2 linked regions of the Stegostoma tigrinum genome follow. The protein of the gene in region 1 interacts with the protein of each later gene in a pairwise test. Links are inferred from orthologs where the notes say so. Each region holds a gene or a part of one and is shown on either strand. Other genes may lie near its edges.

What was found. The genes of interacting proteins can lie anywhere in the genome.
Region 2: the proteins of rassf1 (region 1) and stk3 interact in binary tests that used the Homo sapiens proteins (3 or more experiments, as listed by UniProt). The link is inferred for Stegostoma tigrinum from reciprocal best matches to the Homo sapiens genes RASSF1 and STK3.

What each region holds. Positions count from the first base shown.
Region 1 is NC_081364.1:59,253,888-59,264,051, reverse strand, and holds the start of rassf1 (ras association domain-containing protein 1), read right to left. Parts: upstream 4,350-10,164; 5' UTR 4,016-4,349; coding exon 3,682-4,015; intron 1-3,681. UniProt on the Homo sapiens protein: Potential tumor suppressor. Required for death receptor-dependent apoptosis. Mediates activation of STK3/MST2 and STK4/MST1 during Fas-induced apoptosis by preventing their dephosphorylation.
Region 2 is NC_081358.1:121,914,157-121,924,900, reverse strand, and holds the start of stk3 (serine/threonine-protein kinase 3), read right to left. Parts: upstream 5,015-10,744; 5' UTR 4,924-5,014; coding exon 4,901-4,923; intron 1-4,900. UniProt on the Homo sapiens protein: Stress-activated, pro-apoptotic kinase which, following caspase-cleavage, enters the nucleus and induces chromatin condensation followed by internucleosomal DNA fragmentation.

The sequences.
Region 1 (10,164 bases):
CAACTCTATTTTGCGCCCTTTCTCTAAAATGTCTTAAAAGGCAAAAAATCTAATATCGAAGTCTTGATTATATTTAATTGACTGAGGATCCATTGAGAGAGAATTTTGAAGGTTTATAACACTCTGAATGAAGAAATTTCTCTTCACCACAATTCGTAATGCGAGCCTTAGACAGTATGACTCCGAATCTTCAGACTCACCAGCCTTGCGAAACAAGCAATCAAGAGTCATCTAATCGCCTGTTTTCTTTTCCACCTAGGAAGGTAGGAACTGTGTTTGAGAACACGCAACGTGACGGATCATGGGAGTAAGAAGGTTGCAACACTTGGAGGAAGGAGCGGATGTGATGGATCACCTTCACAGTTGGCTAAGCAGTAGAGATTTATTTGAACACAATGCCAGATTTAGCTATTGAAAGATTATACAATTGTTTACAAATGAAATTAGATGAGCAATTGATAAGGAAAAGATTGACAGACAAGGGATCGGAGTAGATGGTTGAGGCTGATAAGAGGGCATTGACAGAAGTGCAAAGGAGAAAATATGACCTTCTGCTTATGCTGTTATTTCCATGAAATTTGTTCTTGCTGAAGTTGGAGAGATGACAAAAGCCATTATCACTTACAATGTGCCAGGTCAGTCTTCAGGTGATTTAGTGTATTAGAGGATCTGGATCACAGATCCGAAATGAGGCTTAGAGTTTACCAGACAGCAGTGATCCCAGTGTTCCTAAATGCTTCAGAGACTGAGATAATCCAAAGCAAGCACCTCAAAGTACTTGAATACCACCAGCAGTTCACAAGATCCTTGGAGTACAGTAGCAGTTCAACAGCAGCAACGCCTCCCAAACCAACATGTCCAGCACAGAAGTGTTAATCACTTAGAGCCAGTTCTGTTAGGCAGGACACCTCTCGAAGGAGCTGTTCAACTACGAACACATTTGAGACTAGAGCTCCAAGGAAAACAGTGGGACTGCTTTAGGAATGTCCTCAAATTATTGCTGAAGGGCAGAAACATTCCTGCTGATTCACGGGAGACCATCAGAACCAAATGCGGAAGGTTAATTTGGGAAGACCATGAAAGACTTTATCAGTAACATGAAGAAGTGAAGTCTTAGTGCAGAAGGGAGTTTGCAAACCCCATACATTTATTTCACCCTCCAAAGACCATCTGTCCCACACGTGGGTGAGACTGCAGCTTGTCATAGAAATCATAGAAACCCTACAGTGCGAAAACAGGCCATTCAGCCCAACAAGCCCACACCGCCCTTCCAAAGAGCATCCCACCCTGACCCATTCCCCTACTCCTACATTTCCCTTGTCTAATCCACCTAACCTAAATACCCCTGGGTACTACAGGCAATTTAGAATAGCCAAACCACCTACTCTGCACATCTTAGGATTGTGGGAGAAAACCGGAGCACCCAGAGGAAACCCACGCAGACACAGGGAGAACGTGCAAACTCCACACAGATAGTTGTCCGAGGTTGGAATCAATCCCGGGTCCCTGGCGCTGTGAGGCAGCAGTGCTAACCACTGAGTCACCGTCCCGCCCTAAACTAGATGCTACAACTTACAGAACAAGCACCACTTTGTTAATGTAAATAGCAGAGGATGGTTTTGTTCCATCAACCTCTGGGTTATGGACCCAGCACACTCCTGCTGGGCTACTCTACTGTGATGTGTACTGGACTTCTCAGCTATCTTCTAAACCGTCAAAGCAGAGTGGAAGTGAAATCATGCTTATCCTGAGGGACTGCCTCAGGTGAAGAAGAACGTCTAGGATTCCACATGGTGTGGAAGAGTTCAGCAGTGCAGGAGCTGTCTAACATCAGTAGAGATATAGTCAATGATACAGGAACACTGCTGGTGCAAACTACATAGCCTGCAGACTCAGCGAGGCAGGGAGAATTGACCCAGCACAAGTTTGTACATGAATTGGTCAAAAATCAACCATGAAAGGTGACAATTCTCACTGGGATGAACTTTCTATGTGCTGAAAGTTCCCAGTGTGGTCTCACACCAGTAGGTTAAACCTAAGAATTATATCAGGCCATTCAATCCCTTCAGTGTTCTATATCAATTATATCATGGTTAATCTGTACCTCAAATCCACTTCTTGGTCATAAAAGTATCTCCTACTTGTCAGGAGGAGACGTCAGTTTTTCACACCATTGATGTCCTCTGGCACGCTATCAGCTGCTGACTGGGAGCTGGTTAATATTCCCAACCATGCAGGTAGATGTAGCTGCTTTGCACTCAGTTACAGAAAGAAACTGAACATTCACATTTCAGAAGATTTTAATTACTTACAACTCTATCTAACTAAAAAGGATATATCTAATATTAAGCCAAGAAACATAGTCATACGCCAAAATCTGCTGAAAACATTACAACAGAGATGACAGTACAAAAATACATCACTGGCTGCAGTCTTTTGGGATATCCGGAGTTTGCGAAAGACACCATATAACTACATATCCTTTCTTCCTTTGACAAGTACTTTCCAGTGGACAGTCCTGGCCACCAGCTTCAACACTGTCAGAGGTTGTCTACAATTTTCTGACCATTTGCTTTAAAACCCCCGGTGAGCATAGCTTGCAGGCAAAGATGGTCACTGCTTACTGCCCACTGGTAAAAAAAATTCTGAATCACAGCATGCTCTTGAACCAAAGCTGAACACAAATATAAAACACAGCAAGCCAGGCTTGGGGAGATTTCACATTCTGATAATCGGCCAGCTTCATTGCCAACAGGGCCCGCAGTGAAGATGTGTCACTGTGTGACAATGGGCATCACTCTGGGATGACACAAAGCGACGCTTGCAATGCAGGGAGGTTTTTCTATTGTGTTCTTGCATAATTACATCAAGAGTTTAGCAACAACTTAAATAAGTTCCAAAGTACTTAGTTATGATGACAATGGCCTCTTTCATGTCGTTTTCATCAATTTCGGCACCTTTTCCACCTATTCAGTGTTGACAGTCTAACTGGAAGGTTTACAATGCATTTGTAGTGCATTTCAAACACACTCTTTTCTGGCTTGATCTTGTAAAGCTAGTTCCTTTCGTTAATCTGAATACTTGGAAGATTGAGGAAGCCTTGAAGGGAATCTATTACCATATATAGCCTGATACCAAACACAGAATCCTGTACAGTATACAATAGCACATCGTGTGATAGCGTGTATTTATATTCTGTAAATATGACAGCATACAGCAAAGAGGTTAGTAGTATGGAGAAAATACTGAGTTTGATAGTATAATGTATACATTGAGTTAAATAGAATATGTTTAGTATGATGGACAATACACTAAATCATGACATAAAAGTAAGAAAATGCATACAACCCATTTAACATGCACTGGAAATCTTTTCCGCAGTTTTAAAATTGATTTCCAAGCTGTATTCCCCTAAGTGATAGTCACACCCCAGCGTTATAAGTCGCCTTCTTAGTAATGATAAAAACCGCGGAAGGGTCCCTTGACTTGAAACGTCAAGTCTGATTTCTCTCCACAGATGCTGCCAGACCTGCTCAGCTTTTCCAGCAACTTCTGTTTTTGTCCCTTACCAGTGTCACTGTGACACATACGTTTTCTGTTTCTTACTTATTTCAGATCAATTCGTGTTTTTTTTAAATGCATGTTTGTAAAACAAGATAATTGCGTGTGTGAGAAACTTACTTGCGCACTGCAGACTTTGTTTGTACAGACCCCAGATGAAGTCGCCGCACAGGTCACACCAGCTGGGCTGTGTCTGGGTGCAAGGGTTGAAATCGTGTCCTTCCCCCAGTCTCTCGGTCAGTCTCGGCTCCTGGTCCACCACCAGCAGCCGCTGCCGGCTCTTGCGCTCTTGTCTGGCCGCCTTACCCATGTCCTGGACGCTGGAAGCCCGGCTCCTGGGGCTGATCCTCATGGCGTTGGTCCTCTCCAAACCGGACGAGCGGTACACCGAGCGGGTGCTGCCGGGACTCAGCGTGTCCTCTCTCAGGTCCCGCAGCTCGATCAGCTCCGCCATGGGGAGGCGAAGAGAAAAGTTTATACTGCACGGGGAAACTCAGTCTCAAACTCAGCGACAGGCATTAGAATTAAATGATCCAAAACGCCTTCGATAAGAAAACATTTCAGTCAACATGTTTATATTCGTTCGGGTCTCCCGAGCAAAAGAACCGCAACTGAAGCCAGGAGGGGCTGAGACAAGTTGATTAGTCCTGGTCCGGGTTAAAATTCCACCCCAGGATCGGCTCCTCCCCTGCGGCTAATAAATGTCTAACTCAACCCCTAACTCCGAGCACAGCTTCAGCTCAGTGTCAGGATCCGCCCATCAGCCAACGAAATACAGCAACCCGTTAGTTTTAAACGTGAAGCGAGCTGTGTGTTTGTGTGCGTGTGGAGTGGGGGAGGAGATTGATTGTAACCCTCTAAAGTTAAACTGTGACTGAATCGAGTGGATGAAGAACGTAGTGGGAGGGGCTGCTGTTTATGTTTTTTTGTGAGAATATTCAGATCACAGCTGTTCGCTGGAAAAGGATTTTTTTTTCTCTTTCCCCGTGGCTGGCCGCTGGGGTTTGATGGAACACTCTGTGCGTGTTCAGAACCATCCTCAGTTTTAGGGGCAGTGGGCGAGCAACAGTTAAGTGGGTGTGCTGGCTAGCGTTATCAGATTAAACGTAAACTCACTCTCCTTTTATAAGTGTTATCCTTCCTCTGTCCCCGAGCTGGACCACGCAGGTTCAACCTCTAGAATGTGTAATAACGTTTCGGAGCAGTTGCTTACCTATATTGAAGTGCATCACTCATAACCAAAGTGTGGAGCTGGATGAACACAGCAGGCCAAGCAGCATCTCAGGAGCACAGAAGCTGACGTTTTGGGTCTAGACCCTTCATCAGAAAAAAAGTGCATCACTGGCGGGTTTTAAGAAACCAGAGATGAAAAGACTGGTGTTGGGATCACTATGTTTTATTGTGATTTAGTCCACGGCAGGACTTCCCAAACAAGGAGTTGCCACTCCCACTGGGTTCAGGAGTCAAGATTTTGGGCTCCTAAACTCACAGGCAGCAATTTGGAATCTAGGCTATATAAAGTGATGAGAATGGGGATAGTGGGTATACACAGTTTCCTGTAGTGAGGAAAAATACTTTTACCTTTGGACGTTATTGCAAGTCATCACCACATTATCGGTGGAGCTAAGTTGCCCAGGATTCAACGACTTTTTAAGATAGGGATAACGGTGATCTGCCTCATTTTCATCACCTGTACATTTATAAGGCTTGATTTTGGGGACTGGATTTTGCAATTCTCACCAATTCACTAGACCCCCCTCTCAATATGGCCTATCTGCATGATCTCCAGGCCCACTCACCTTGTCCCAAGTGTGGTGTCCATCACTATTTCATCTCATTGAGTGCCGTCTCAGAGTGACCATCACTCCCAACGGTACGCTTAGGACTGAAAAGCAATCAGCCCATCACTGTCTGGCGTCTCCTGGGGGTGATATCTCACCGTTTAAAGACATGGGAACCGTAAAAGCTGAAAATTAATTGCTGGATCGATATAGAATCATAGTCACACAGCACAGAAACAGACTTTTCACCCCAACTCATTCACGCCAACCAGACGCCCAATCTGATCTAGTCCCATTTGCCAGCATATATGCCAGCCCATACTCCCTGTAAACTCCTCATATTCATATACCAACCTGGATGCCTCTTAAATGTGAGATAAAAAGGCGTACAGCTGCATGAACCAGGCCAAGCAGCATCAGAGGAGCTGATGTTTCAGGCCTAGACCCTTCTACAGAAAAAACGGTCATATCCTCGTAAACCTTTCTGCACACTTTCAAATTTAACAACATTCTTCTTATAGGAGAGCAACCAAAATTGTACACAGTATTCTAAAAGTGGCTTCACAAATGTTCTGTTTAACTGCAACATGAAATCCCAACTCCAACATCAACGTTCTGGCCAATGAAGGCAAGCATGCCACATGGCTTCTTCACTACCCTGTCTACCTGCGACTCCATATATGACAGCTAAGGATTCCAAAAATGGCTGAGGTAGGGATACTTGCATCTTTCTAGCTTGTTGTCAGGATTCACTTTAGTGTTCAATTGTCCTGCGTTTCTTTATGTTAATCGGTTTACAATAGCTGATCTTTGTACTCAATCGGTAAGCTTGGATGTAGACTCTGAGAAAAGCTGTGGAAAGAGTTGGGAGCCAGAGCTGAAGCACAGAGCAGCCATTTTGAAACACTGTCAATAAAACCTATTAAATATTGAAGCTGGTGTGTCGTCTTGGTGTAGACCAGAGAGATATAAAATACACAACGAAGTGGAGTGAGAATGATGCAGGAAAGTTTACAGTTACTCACTCTTGCACTTTGTCTTTGCTGATAGGCCACGGGCTGAATGGATTTCAGGGTGCACCACCTATTTGCATGCTATAGAGTTGCACAGGGCAGATGGAACTCCAAAAAAATGATACTTTTATGTTGCCTCAGAACAGAAGGTCATTGAATATTCCAGCAGCTCAAAAAAGACATGAGTGCATTTGTTACATCAGCAAGTGGGTCTTGAAAAATACTTTAGCCAAAGAAAAATGTTATATTTGAATGCTATACATTTCATTTTCCACTATTATATCATAGCAATGTAATAGCAAGCCCATCAAACAAGATAGTAAATAGATGCACCAGTTGGCTTCTATATTAAATTTGATCCATTAATCAATTAACTAGTCCACACCCAACTTCAACTCTACAAACTAGTTATGTATCCCCTCATGAATGACGATCTAATTTATGAAGTAGCCACAAACTTGCCAATGTAAATCAATCCACCACATGACATTAAAATGATAGAATCCCAACAGTGTGGAAGGAGGCCACTCAGCCCATCAAACCTGCACTGATCCTCTGAAGAACATCCCACCCAGACTCAGTCCCCCACCCTATCCCTGTAACTGCCTAATTTCCATGGCTAACCCACGTAAACCTGCACATCCCTGGACACTGTGGGCAATTTAGCATGGCCAGACTACCTACAATGCACAGCTTTGGACTGTGGGAGGAAACTAGAGCAACTGGCAGAAACCCATGCAGAATTGGGAAGAACATACAAATTCCACTCAGACAGTCACCTAAAGCTGGAATTGAACCCAAGTCCCTGGGTGTTGTGAGGCAGCAGTGTTAGGTTTGAAGAGGCTACATACAAGTGCCCCCTCCGCTTTCCCAACCAACTCAATTGCAAGGGTTAAGCATGAGGAGACTTCATAATCTGATTATGACATGCCCATTATGGTTAGCTACTTACAAGATAGCTGACAAAGGCACATCCCTCCCTGATACACTCAAAGCTTTCTATGCTGTGTTCAAGCAGAATACCAGCAGCATGGTGTCACCAGCCCCGGACACACCTGTTCGCTCTGTCAGCACTGCAGACCTCAGATCAGTCTTCCCAATAGTCAACTCAAGGAAAGCGATAGGCCCTGATGGAGTCCCTGGCCGTGCATTTAGGTCATGTCCGGACCAGCTGGTGGATGATTTCACCTCCAGTTTCAGCCTCTCCCTCCTTCAAGCCAAAGCTCCTACTTTCAAGAAGACCACCATCAGCCCTGTACCTAAGAAAGCACATGCAACGTGCCTTAAAGACTACCGCCCAGTGGGGTTCTGACCTCAATAATCATGAAGTGCTTCGACAAGCTGGTCAAAGCCCACATTAACTTGAGTCTCCCAGCTCACCTCGATTCCCTGCAATTTGCCTATTGACATAACAGGTCCAGAGCAGGTGCCATTTCCCTAGCCCTGCACTCATCCCTGGAACATGTAGACAACAAGGACAGCTATGTCAGACCCCTACAGCTCTGCCTTCAACACCATTATCCCCTCAAGACTCCCCTCAAGCTCTGCGCTCTGCAATTGGATCCTCAGCTTTCTGACCCACAGACCGCAATCAGTGAATATAGACAACTGCACTTCCTCCACAATAACACTTAACACTGGAGCAACACCCCCCCCCCCAACGCCCCTGAGGATGCATCCTCAGCCCCCTACTGTATTCCCTATACACCCATGACTTTTTGCCAAATTCCGAATGAACACCATCTACAAGTTTGCTAATGATACCATTGTGTTAAGATAGATATCAAACGATGATAAGTCAGAATACAGAAAAGAGATAGAGGGTTTGGTGACATGGTGCAATGGTTACAACATCTCTCTCTCTCTCTCTCTCTCTCTCTCTCAGTGTCCGCAAAACTAAATAATTGATCATCGACTTCAGAAAGAAAGGAGGGTAGCATGCCCCCATTTACGTCAATGGTGTGGAGATTGAGAGGGTCCAGAACGTCAGGTTCCTCGGAGTGACAATAACCAACAATCTGTCCTGCACTTCCCATGTGATGCAATGGTCAAGAAGGCACAACAACGCCTCTTCTTCCTCAGGCAGCTGAGAAAATTTGGCTTGTCCATGAGGACCCTCACTAACCTCTATATCTGCGCCATTGAAAGTGTACTGTCCGGGTGCATAACGGCCTGGTGTGGCAACTGCTCTGCCTAGAACCGTAAGAAACTACAGAAAGTGGTGTGCGCAGCCCAGACCATCACAGAAGTCAACCTTCCAACCATGGACTCTATTTACATGTTTTGTAGGTGCAGAAAGGCTGCCAACATCATCAAAGACCCTTCCCATCCAGGTAATGCTCTCCTACATCCTCTTCCATCAGGTAGAAAATATGAATTCTTGAACACATGCACCAGCAGATTCAAGAATAGCTTCTTCCTTGCTGTTATTTGACTGATGAATGGCATCTCTAACTTCAATTTTTTCCTATCTTGGTACTGGTGATCTTGCCTCGCACACATTCTGTGCAATGTAACCTATGTGCCTTACTGTGTCCAAGAAGTTTTTCACCTGATGATCTGTATTTCCTAGTTTACTATGATCTGCCTATGCTGCTCGCAAACAAAGCTTTTCACTGTACTTAGGTACACGTGACAATAAATCAAATCAATCAATCAAAACTATGCCCAAACTGTGGAAATGCTCATTGGGATGAAAGCATCTACTCTGAACGACAGACTCAGAATCAATGTTTTACGCAACTTTCTCCCCTTCCTGCAACAGACAGTTTTCAAGTTCACGATTGCCCCTTTTGGAGATTGCTGTTCCCATGTGTTACAAAAATGTCACCCACTAGATGGCTTTGTGTTCAATGAAGCTAATGGCAGCAGGTTTATTGCAGAGTGGTAGGAGAGGGGGAAACCTTTCAGTAGGCCTAGCTTCAAAGTTGAAGACTTCACTGGTGTACATATTGACATGATCACTATCCTTCCTTATTCATTGTATTTGGGGAGATGAAGGAGGTCTTGTTACACTCTTCATATTGACATCTTCACATCACTTCTACCAATTACACAAAATTTGAGGAGTTGCCATTTATAATGTATGCTTAATTGTCACAGGAAGTACAGTGATTAGAAATGGATGGTATTGTTGACTGAATCAGCTTAACAGTAGTGGACATTCACTCTAGACAAGTATCCACATGATACAATTGACAGCTACTTAGAAATAGGAAGGGTAATAGACCATTTGGCCCCTTGAGCCTGCTCTGCCATTCAATTGGATCATGGCTGATCCAACGTTCCTCACATCCACTTGCTGTTGATGGTCATGGAAGGGAAAGAACAGGACACAATAAGTGGATATCAGCAGTCCTCACTTGAATCGCACATCACAATTTGGTCATCAAGGACAAATGTACATTCACAGCGTTAAGGATTAACTTTCTTGGCAATTGGGTGACAACAACTGGATATAGACTGCACAGGAAAATGTCAAAGCCATTTGTGTGAACCCGACATAAAAGAGTAGGCATTGTGTCTTGGGATTAAAAACATTTATCACAAATTTCTACCACGTATGTCAAGATCACAAAGCCACTTCCTAAATTACTGTGCAAAAATGCCCAGTGGGAAGAAACAGCCACACTGCATTTGACGTGATAAATGTGAAGACAGCATCTCTGTCAAAGCTGCAAGTAAAAATATATGTCACAATATTTGCATCAAGAAATGCAATTGGAGTTTATTCTCACATTACATCGAAGAAAGTGAATGACCAGTTGCTTCTGCCATCAGAAACCCATCATAAATACTGGACAGCAGAA
Region 2 (10,744 bases), on another chromosome or scaffold:
CAAAACATACTTTACCTTATTCTATAATTAATTAAAATACAAACAAAAAATAATTGGAATCACAACTCTATTGGAAAACTTAACAGAATAACGGATTATTAAACTACTAAACAGCAACTGTTCCAATATAGTAACATTCCACCAACACACACTGAGTAAGGGCAAATTTTGTAAAATAGATTGTTTCTCATACAATTCTCACAGTTTTTAAGCTGCAACAGGGAGAGGAATAACAGCATCCACATCCAACTTCAAGACCTCAGTAGTTCTGTCAGAGCCTGATGTACCTATTCATGCTGTTCCTATTGTTTTAACTTTTTAAAATAAAAACCTGAGGCCTCACAAGCTGTTTACTTTATTGGCTTGGAGTAGACTGCTCTGTCGCAACCTCTCTTCATTAAAACAAAGGACAAAAGTCATCTTTTAAAGCCATAGCATCATCAAAAAGGGCAGTTTACATGCTGATGTAAGGGATGGGATAGGGGACAGAGTGAACAAAATACATGAAGACAGTGCTGAGAGAGAACATAAAAGATGGTAAACAAAGTGATTGCTGATGATCAGCCGAGATGGAGATAAATACTTGGGAGGGTGCTAACAAGAAGTGTGTATAGTTTGAAATGGGTTGGCTGTGCTGGGAGCAAACCGTACAAAACAGGACCTAAGCACACAGGGGTGCTCACATTCTTTAATTATTAAACTCAAATGTTGAGTCCTGAAGGCTGTAAACTACCACAGCGGAAGATGAGGTGCTGTTCCTTCACCCTTTCTTCAGTTTTGCTGGAGCACGTAGTAGTCCTGAGATCACAATGTTAGAACTGGAACACATGCGTTGAAATGGCAGGCAACTGAAAGCTCTGGAAGGATCTTGTAAGCACTTACAAATGGTAAAGTAGAATCACAAAGCAGCAATGTAAAGCGTGTGGAAGTTTTCAGAAAAGGCTGCAGAATCATTCTTGGAACACACTTCAGCAAATGGAACAGGAGAAGGCAAATACACTTAAAGGTACCATGGTAAAGGGAGACTCAGGGATTCGGGTATGTATTCAGGGAAGTTACTTAGAGTGATTTAGACAAACAATAAAGATGTATTTCAGGAATAGCGAGATAAGCACACAGGAGAGAAAGGAATAGAAAGGTATTCTGATTGTATGAGATTTAACAGAATGGGAGGAGGTTTGAGTGAAGGTAAAATACCAACAAAGTCTACTGAGCTGAACAACCTGCAATATCACCCACACCAATTTAGTGATAAAATGTAAAAAATAGAAAAATGCACTCAACCTGAAAATTATGGCAATACAATTTTACGCAAAAATGCACTAGTTGAAGTAGCAGTTGGAGACACTTAATTAAGGACATCTAGAACAGATTTACAAAAGGCAAAGGTAAGATTCTTAGCAGTGTAGATGAGCAGAGAGATCTCGGTGTTCATGTACACAGATCCTTGAAAGTTGCCACCCAGGTTGACAGGGCTGTTAAGAAGGCGTACAGTGTTTTAGCTTTTATTAATAGAGGGATCGAGTTCCAGAACCAAGAGGTTATGGAGAAGCTGTACAAAACTCTGGTGCGGCCGCACTTCGAGTATTGCGTACAGTTCTGGTCACCGCATTAGAAGAAGGATGTGGAAGCTTTGGAAAGGGTGCAGAGGAGATTTACTAGGATGTTGCCTCGTATGGAGGGAAGGTCTTACGAGGAAAGGCTCAGGGACTTGAGGCTGTTTTCATTAGAGAGAAGAAGGTTGAGAGGTGACTTAATTGAGACATATAAAATAATCAGAGGGTTGGATAGGGTGGATAAGGAGATCCTTTTTCCTAGGATGGTGACAGCGAGCACGAGGGGGAATAGCTTTAAATTGAGGGGTGAAAGATATAGGACAGATGTCAGAGGTAGTTTCTTTACTCAGAGAGTAGTAAGGGAATGGAACGCTTTGCCTGCAACGGTAGTAGATTCGCCAACTTTAGGTACATTTAAGTCGTCATTGGACAAGCATATGGACGTGCATGGAATAGTGTACGTTAGATGGGCTTCAGATTGGTATGACAGGTCGGCACAACATCGAAGGCCGAAGGGCCTGTACTGTGCTGTAATGTTCTATGTTCTATGTTTGATCAATCTAATAATTTTTTGATGCAATACCAGAGAAAAGTTTTGAAGGGAAAGTAGCAGATATTGCTCATACAGATTTAAAGTACTGAGAAAATACGATGTCAGAAACTGATTAATAAAATAAAGATTCGTGGAGCAGGCGAGTCAGTGTCAGTTTGGTTAAATATTGTTTAAGGTAGTCATGGTAAAAAATCATTTTTCAGACTGAAGGACAAATGAATGAGGTGGTAAATAATGAGGAGGATTGCCCTAGATTATAGGAGAATAAGGATAGGCTGTTAGCAGCAATTTGAACTCAATAAAAGGATGGTGATAGAGATAATAGGAACTGCAGATGCTGGAGAATCTGAGATAACAAGGAGTGGCGCTGGATGAACACAGCAGGCCAAGCAGCATCTTAGGAGCAGGAACGCTGATGTTTCAGGAGGGTCTATGCTGCGTGGCATGCTGTGCTCATTCAGCTCCACACCTTGTTATCAAAGGATGTTAATAGTTCAGATTAAGTGATCTCACATGAGAATCACTTAATGTGAACTATCAACATCCTTTCCCCACCCCACCCCCAAACTACTGCAAAAATTTTGCCCCATCGACATTTCACTTCAGGTCTGAAGAGTCACCTTGACTCAAAACATTAGCATGCTTTCTGTCCATGAATGCTGCCTGTCCCACTGTGATCGCCAGCATTTTTTTGTTATGAAGGGAAGGACCTTGTGTAGTACCAAGGATCAGTGGGAACTTGTTGTTCTTATCCACCAGGACGGTTATGTTGAAACGGCATAGACCATACTGTGCAATTTTGGAATTCCCATTTAACAAAGGCTATGTTTGGACTGGAGAGGCTGCAAAGGAGGTTTTTTACAATGTTATCTGGATTGGAAAGTTTTAGTTATGAGTAGAGATTGAATAGACTGGGTGAGTTTTCCTCAGAGTAGAGGAAACAGAAGGGGGTCATGATTGAGATGCATAAAATTATGAGAGACATAGATAAGGTAGAAAAGGAACATTTCCCCTTGGTGGAGGGATCAAAGATGGGGCCTTGGGTATAAGGTAACTCCAGAAGGAGATGGGAATCTGGAACACAGCTTGTAACTGTGTAGAAATCCTCATAACGTTTAAGAAGTACTTACATTAGTGAGGCAATGGCCTAGTAGTATTATTGCTAGACTTTTAGGATAAGGTAGGTCCTACAAAACCAAAATACAGATTTAACATCTGCTTCGAAGGGCCTGTACTGTTCTATTCTCTGGGAACCAATGATTTTCAGGAAAACAATCTAAATTTTAAGTGAGGACTTAATACCCAAATTTACTTCTGATAGAAAACTAGGTGATGATAAGTTGTCAGGATGACCAAAACAGGCTGCAAAGAGATGCCAACAGCTTGGATGGGCAACAAAAGCAGCTGGAACATTATGTGGCAAAGTTTGAGGTTATTCATTTTGGTCAGAGTAGAAAGGCAGAATATTTTTATTAAGCATCAGACTGGTAAATGTTGATATTCACCTGTACTCAGGTATCCTCATACAAGGAACACAGAGGATGCATATACATCAGGCAATTAGGAAGGCAAATGGTACACTGGCCTTTATTGCTAGGAAATTGCATATGGAAGTCTTGTTACAATTGTACTATGTAGAGCTTTGGCAAGACTGTACAAAGTATAGTACAGTTTTGATTTCCATGTCTAAGAAAGAAGTAAAGAAGATTCAAATAGGTTAATTTTTAGGATGGGAAAGCTGTATTCTGCCAAGAGGCTAAGCAACTTGGGACAATCTGCAGTTTCAGTAGAATGGAGAAGTTACCTCCTGGAAACATACAAGATTTTGCAGGGGCTTGGCAGGGTAAACTCAAGAGGTCTTTTGGGGAATTTAGAACACAGCAGCAGCAGCAGTTGAGGAGATCACACACACACAGCTATTTTCTACCCAAGGAAGTTCAGGATATGAATTGATTATATTCAAGGCTGGACTATTTAAATGTTTGATCCTCAAGAGAGAAAAGGTTAGGGCAAGGAGCATGGAATTGAGGTAGAAGATGCATTGCTGATGAAGGGTCTAGGCCTGAAACATCAGCTTTCCTGCTCCTAAGACGCTGCTTGGCCTGCAGTGTTCATCCAGCTCAACACCTTGTTATCACCAAATCACCAAGAGCAGGTTCTAATCATTAGTATCAGATTTTTAATTTCTAGAACTCTTTCCTTCCCCCCCCGCCCCCAAGGAAAACAGTGTCATTGACAAATCTTCAAAAAAAGGTGCACTGTGGTCTGTGACATCTTGGGGACCTGAACTACTGCACAACAAATTTACTCTTTCTTTTCCCAAAGAAATGTAATGACAGTGTGTTGCAAAGCATTACAACATCGTAAAGTTATCCCCGGCGATAAGGGAAATCAAAAAGAGAAATTCAGGATCAACTCCAGTACTAGAAATCAGGAACATAATCTCCCCGAATTAACTTCCTCCCAAATATTCATGTTTTTAAAGCTCCCCTCGACACCATTTCACCAAGACCAGAAACAAAACAATTTTAAAAACAAGCCTACAATGATAGTCACTTCTAGTTGGAAAACAACAAGCAGTATTTAAAAACACTGGAACTTCGATGCCCTTCTGAACTGACTTCGGGAACAACACGTACAAACATAAACTGAGTGAGTAGAGAGAAGAAAAAACTCTGTAAAAGTTTCATCTTCTTCCTGTAAACAACCACTGCATTTAATGCATCAAACGACCCGCCTCTGCCTCTACCCCCACCGCCCCCTCGACGTCTCCGAAAGGGGTTGTCACTACCTTCTGGGCGCCGACGGCTCCATCACTACGGTGACGCCTTTTAAACGTGCGACGGTTACAGTTTCAAACCGCCATGCTCGACTCGCCTGACGTCACTGCACGCGCCTCTCTCCCCCTCCCCTCCCCTCCCCTCCCCACCCCACCCCAAACCTTCCTCCTCCAAAACGGCAGCTGGTGACACCGGCGCCGTCCTCCTCCGCCCTCAGCCCGCCTCCTCGACCATCCCATTGGTCGGAACGCTATCGTGCCAGAAGTGCCGTCTGTGTGGCAGCGTCGAACTGTCAATCAGTTTGGGCAGTCACGATTCTCTGGTCACAGACTGTTCTTCCTCCTGCGCAGCCGCGACTAATCACGGTGGAGTCTAAGAGTCTTTGATGTCGTAGCTCGTAGCTGGCGGAGTCCTTGATTCCGTTTTAAACCGTTTGGTTATTTGAAGGGCACATATTAACGAGAAATCACATGGAAACAAATGCCCGTAACTTCAGTCATCGGGTGGTTTAACGAACTAGCTCTGACTGGCTTTATTCTGGGAGATGTCATCACGTTACCACTCTCCGCAGCTGGCCGTGCCCACCCAGATTGACCAACATGTCCATCTTCGGTGAGCAAAATAAAATCCTGAACAACTGCGGATGTTATAAATCAGAAACAAAAAACAGAAGTTGCTGGAAAAGCTCAGTGGGTCCAGCAGCATCTGTGAAGAGAAAGAAGAATTAACTTTTCGGATCCGGTGACCCTTCCTCAACTGATGGTAGCCAGGAAAATGTTGGTTTATATGCAGAAGATAGAGTGGGGGCAGAGCGTAAGGAGTAAACCATAGATGCGTATAGAGCCCGAAGAGAGAGGACAGTTGGACAAACAAAGGAGTGGATAACAATCTGGCTAGAAGGGTGAATAGCTTCTAACGGCTAACAATAGCTAGCGCACAATGGCAGACTATGTGGTAACAAGGCCTGCTTTGTGCGGTGAGGGGCGAGGACCTGGGGAAGTTCAGGCCCTGAAATTATTGAACTCTATATTGAGTCTGGAGGGCTTCAACATCCCCAAGTGGAAATTGAGGTGTTGTTATTCCAGCTTGCTCTGAGCTTCGCTGGAATGCTGCAGCAAGCCTGAGATGGAGATGTTAGCCAGGGAACAGTGATGTATTAAAGTGGCAGGCAACTGGAAGCTCAGGGTGACTTTTGCAGGCAGAACATAGATATTCTGTGAAGTGGCTGCCCAACCTACGCTTTGGGGAGACCACATTGTGAGCAACGAATGCAGTAGACTAGATTGAGTGAGAGAAGAGGTAAATGGGCAGACGTTACACCCATGGCGGTTGCAGGGGACGGTGCTGTTGTGAGTGAAGGAAGAGTGCACCAGGGTGTCTCGGAGAGAACAGCTCCTGCGGTAGGTGGACAAGGGAGGAGAGAGGAGGGGAATCTGTGTTTGGTGGTAGCATCTTGCTGGAGATGGCAGAAATGATGGATGATGATCTTCTGGATTTGAATGCTGATGGGATGGTAGGTAAGGACAAGGGGTACCCTATTGTTGTTCGGTGGGAGAAAAAAGCAGGTGTGAGGGAAGAAGTGCAGGAGCTGGTTCAGATCTGGTTGGGGGCCCTGTTGATAACGGTGCTGGGGAATCCTCAGTTGAGGAAGAAGGTTGACATTTCAGAGGCTCCCTGTGCAAGTTGGCCTCATCAGAACATGTGCGATGGAGATAGAGGAACAGGGAGAATAGAATGGAGTCTTTACACGAAGCAAGGTGTGAGGGTGTGTAGTCCAGGTAGCTGTGGGATTCAGTGGGTTTTCAGTGGATATTAATTGTCAAGTTATCCCCAGAAATGGAACTAAAGATATCAAGAAAGGGAGGAGTCAGAGATAGACCAGATGAAAGTGAGGGCAGGGTAAAAAATTAGAAACTTTTCCAATTCCAGATGAGAGAGGGAAGCAGCACCAACAATATCAATATATCAGAGAAAGAGTTGTGGGAGGGGTCTGGAGAGGATTGGAAGAAGGAATATCCCCCATTAAGAGACATTTATAATTGGGACCCATGACCACTTTTCTGACCTGAAGAAAATGAGAGGAATTAAAAGAGAAGTTGTTGAGAGTGAGGAGAGTCTCAACCAAGTGGAGGAGGCTGGTGGTGGGTGGAGATGCCTCAGGCCTTTGCTCCAGGAAGAAGTTGAAGACCCCTGAGAACATCCTAGTGGAGGATGGGGGTGTAAAGTTTACATGCATCTATGGTAAAAAGGAGGCGGCTGGAGTGTACAAACTGGAAATTCCAAAACTAGCATAAAGCATCAGAGGAATCATGGATATATATATGGGTAGGGACTAGACTCAGGGGAGAAAAGACTGAGTCAAGGTGGGAATAGATAGCTTTGTGGGGCAAGAGCAGGCCGAAACAATGGGTCAGCCCTGTTTGTGGATTTTTGGAAGAAGGTGGAAGCAAGCTGTGCAGCGTTGGCGGGCTATTAGCTTGGAGGCAGTGGGGAGGAGATCACCAGATGAAATGAGGTCTGTGACCATAGTTGATACAATGGCCTGATGTTCCATGTTGGGGGTCATGGTCCAGAGGAAGATAGGAGGAGGTATTTGACCCTCTGCAATGTAGAGGTCAGTGCACCAAACTACAACAGCACCCCCCTTAATAACAAAGTCAGGGTTGGATCTGAGCACAAAGAGTGCAGTCAGTTCAGAGGAGATAGGTTGGATTGGTTAAGGGAGGGGGCAGAGAAATTGACATCGACAATTCTCAGTGAACAGATCAAGTGCAGGTAAAAGGCCAGAAGGAGGGGTCCGGGTGGAGGGAGAGTGTTCGAGCTGGATGAAGGGGTCTGTGGGATGGGGAGAGGACTCTTGTCCAAAAAATGGCACAAAGGCAAAGATGGCAGAAGAAGAGTTGGATTTCATGTCATGCCTGAAGCTCATTAAGTGGGTCGCAGAGGGATAAAGCTGACACCTTTGCTGAGCACAGAATGTTTGAAGGTTGGGAGAGGTGGTGAATGCCCGACAGGTGGTCGGGTTTGAGGAAGAAATGGAGTCAGAGGGAAGGGGAGGAAAGGAAGGTTTCAGAGGGTCATGGGTATCTCTGAGCTGTTGCATCTCGTGAGCATTGATGCCTGAAAGGAAAAAAACACATTTCTTGTTCTGATGAGGCCAACTTCGACAAGGGAGCCTCCAAAATGTCCATCTTTTTCCTTTAATATATAGTATAAGGATTGCCTAGCACCATTGTCAACAGGGTCCTCAACCGGGTCCGACTCATCCCCCACACTTCTGCCCTCTCCCCCTTTCTTCCCTCCCACAACAGTGATAGGTTCCCTTTGTCCATACCTACCATCCCACCAGAATTCACATCCAGAAGATCAGCCACCATTCCTGCCACCTCCTACAAGATGCTACCACTAGATGCATATTCCCCTCCCTTGTCTGCCTACCACAGGGACTGTTCCCTCTGGGACATCCTAGTCCACTCTTCCTTCACTCTCAACACCACCCAACGGCCCCACGGCACCTTCCCTTGCAACCACCTTATGTGTAACACCTGCCCACTTACCTCCTCACTTCTCAGTATCTAAGGTCCCAAACACAACTTCCAGATTGTGCAGCAACTCACCTGCACTTCACACAATCTAGTCTGCTGCATTAGTTGCTTACAGTGTGGTCTCCTCCAAAGACTGGGTGACCACCTCATGGAGCATCTGTGTTCTGCCAGCAAACATGATCCTGATCTTCCAGTTTCCTGCCACTTTAACACACCACCTTGTTCCCTGGCTAACATCATTTAAAGGAAGGCTCACCGGACCCAACACATTAACTCTGATTTTTTCTCCACAGATGCTGCCAGACCTGCTGAGCTATTCCAGCAACTTCTGTTTTTGTTCTGATTTACAGCATCCGCAGTTCTTTCGGTTTTTATTTCTGTCGCAGGGCTGCTGTAGAGTTCCAGCAAAGCTCAGTGCAAACTAGAAGAAGTATACCTCATTTTCCACTTCGGGACCCTGAAGCCCTCCAGACCAAATATCAACTTCAATAATTTTAGGGCCTGAACTGTCTCATGTCCTAGCCCTCTACCCCAGACACCAGGCCTTGTATTACATAATCACACTATCACACACTATTGTTAGCCATTAACAGTTTCCATTAACAGCTATTCGCCCTCCTAGCCAGATTGTATCTCCTCCGTTATCCAACTGCTCTTCTCTCTCTTTGGGCTCTATCCAAACCTTTCGTTTACTCCTTCCCCTTCCCCCCAACCTATCTTCTGCATATAAACCAATATTTTGCTACCTACCATCAGTTCTGAGCAAGGATCACTGAACCAGAAATATTAAATCTGATTTCTCTTCACAGATGCTGCCAAACCTGCTGAGCTTTTCTAGCAACTTCTGTTTTTGCATGATCAGGGAGTCTGGCTTTCCCAATCGAAAAGAGGGTATGATTCTGAAATCAAGTTGTTCAGAGATGTTATAACAAAAATCTGGCGTAGGTGGAACTTTAACCCAGGCTTCCTGGCTCAGAGGCAGCAATATCAACACTGCACAACGAGAGTCCCTCACACTTCTATTTATTAATTCAGTATTGGAAATGGGGTGACCAGTTGTTTGAATGAATTGATTAATGCAAAGGTTGTTGTGCTGTAGTGTTGAAGGGTCTCTCTGATGAAAGGTCTAGGCCCGAAACGTCAACTTTTGTGCTCCTGAGATGCTGCTTGGCTTGCTGTGTTCATCCAGCTTCATACTTTGTTATCTTGGATTCTCCAGCATCTGCAGTTCCCATTATCTCTGTGCTGTAGTGGTAATGTCCCTGCCTCAGAGATAGAATACTTGGTTCAAGCCCCACCTGCTCCGGAGGTGTGTTATAACACATCTGAACAAGTTGATTACAAGTATCAAAATAAGAGTATTAAAATAATTTATTTCAACAAGATTTTTTTATGTTCCCTTCAATGACAGCAATGCCCACATCCTATGAATGAATTTTTTAAAAAATCAAATGATATACTGTAGGGGTCAAGATCCCACTGCTGGATCATGTGTCATTGCCGTGAAAAGGCTGCCAAGATCATCAAAGGCCCATTCCATCTTGGTAATGCTCTCTTACAAACTCTTCTATCAGGTAGAAGATACAGGAACATGAACAACTGCACCAGCAGGTTCAAGAATAGCTTCTTCCCAACTGTTATTAGACTGATGAATGGATTCTAATTTTGAATAATGCTGTTCTTGTTAATGTTTATCATGCCTCGTGCACTTCCTGTGCAGTGTAACATGTATTCCCGACTCTGTCCAGGTTTTGTTTTTCACTCACTGATCTGTATATTCGTGCTTGCTCCGATCTGCCTGTACTGCTCACAGTCAAAGCTTTTCACTGTACTTAGGTACACATGACAATAAATCAAATCAAATCAATGAAGGAAGAGATGATATAAACACTCAGTTTACTGATGACACAAAAATAGGTAGGTTGTAAAATAAGTAAGTTGTGAAGAGGATTTAAGTGGCTACAAAAAGATACTGATAAGTAGGTTAGCAAAGATCTGACAAATGTAATACATTGTGCAGAAATGTAAAATTGTTCGTATTGCTGGAAGAATGACAAAGAGACAAGTTATTTAAATAGTGAAAGATTGCAGGGTTTACAGGTTCACAATAATCGGGATTCCTAGTGCATGAATCATAAAAGGTTAGTGAGCAGGTACACAAGTAATTAGGAAAGCTAATGGGGTGTTGTAATTTATTCTGAGGGGAATGGAATACAAAAGTAGGAAGATTATGCTTCAATTATACAAGACACATGTAAGACCCGTATCTAAAGTACCATATACAGTATCGGACATCCTACTGAAGTAAGG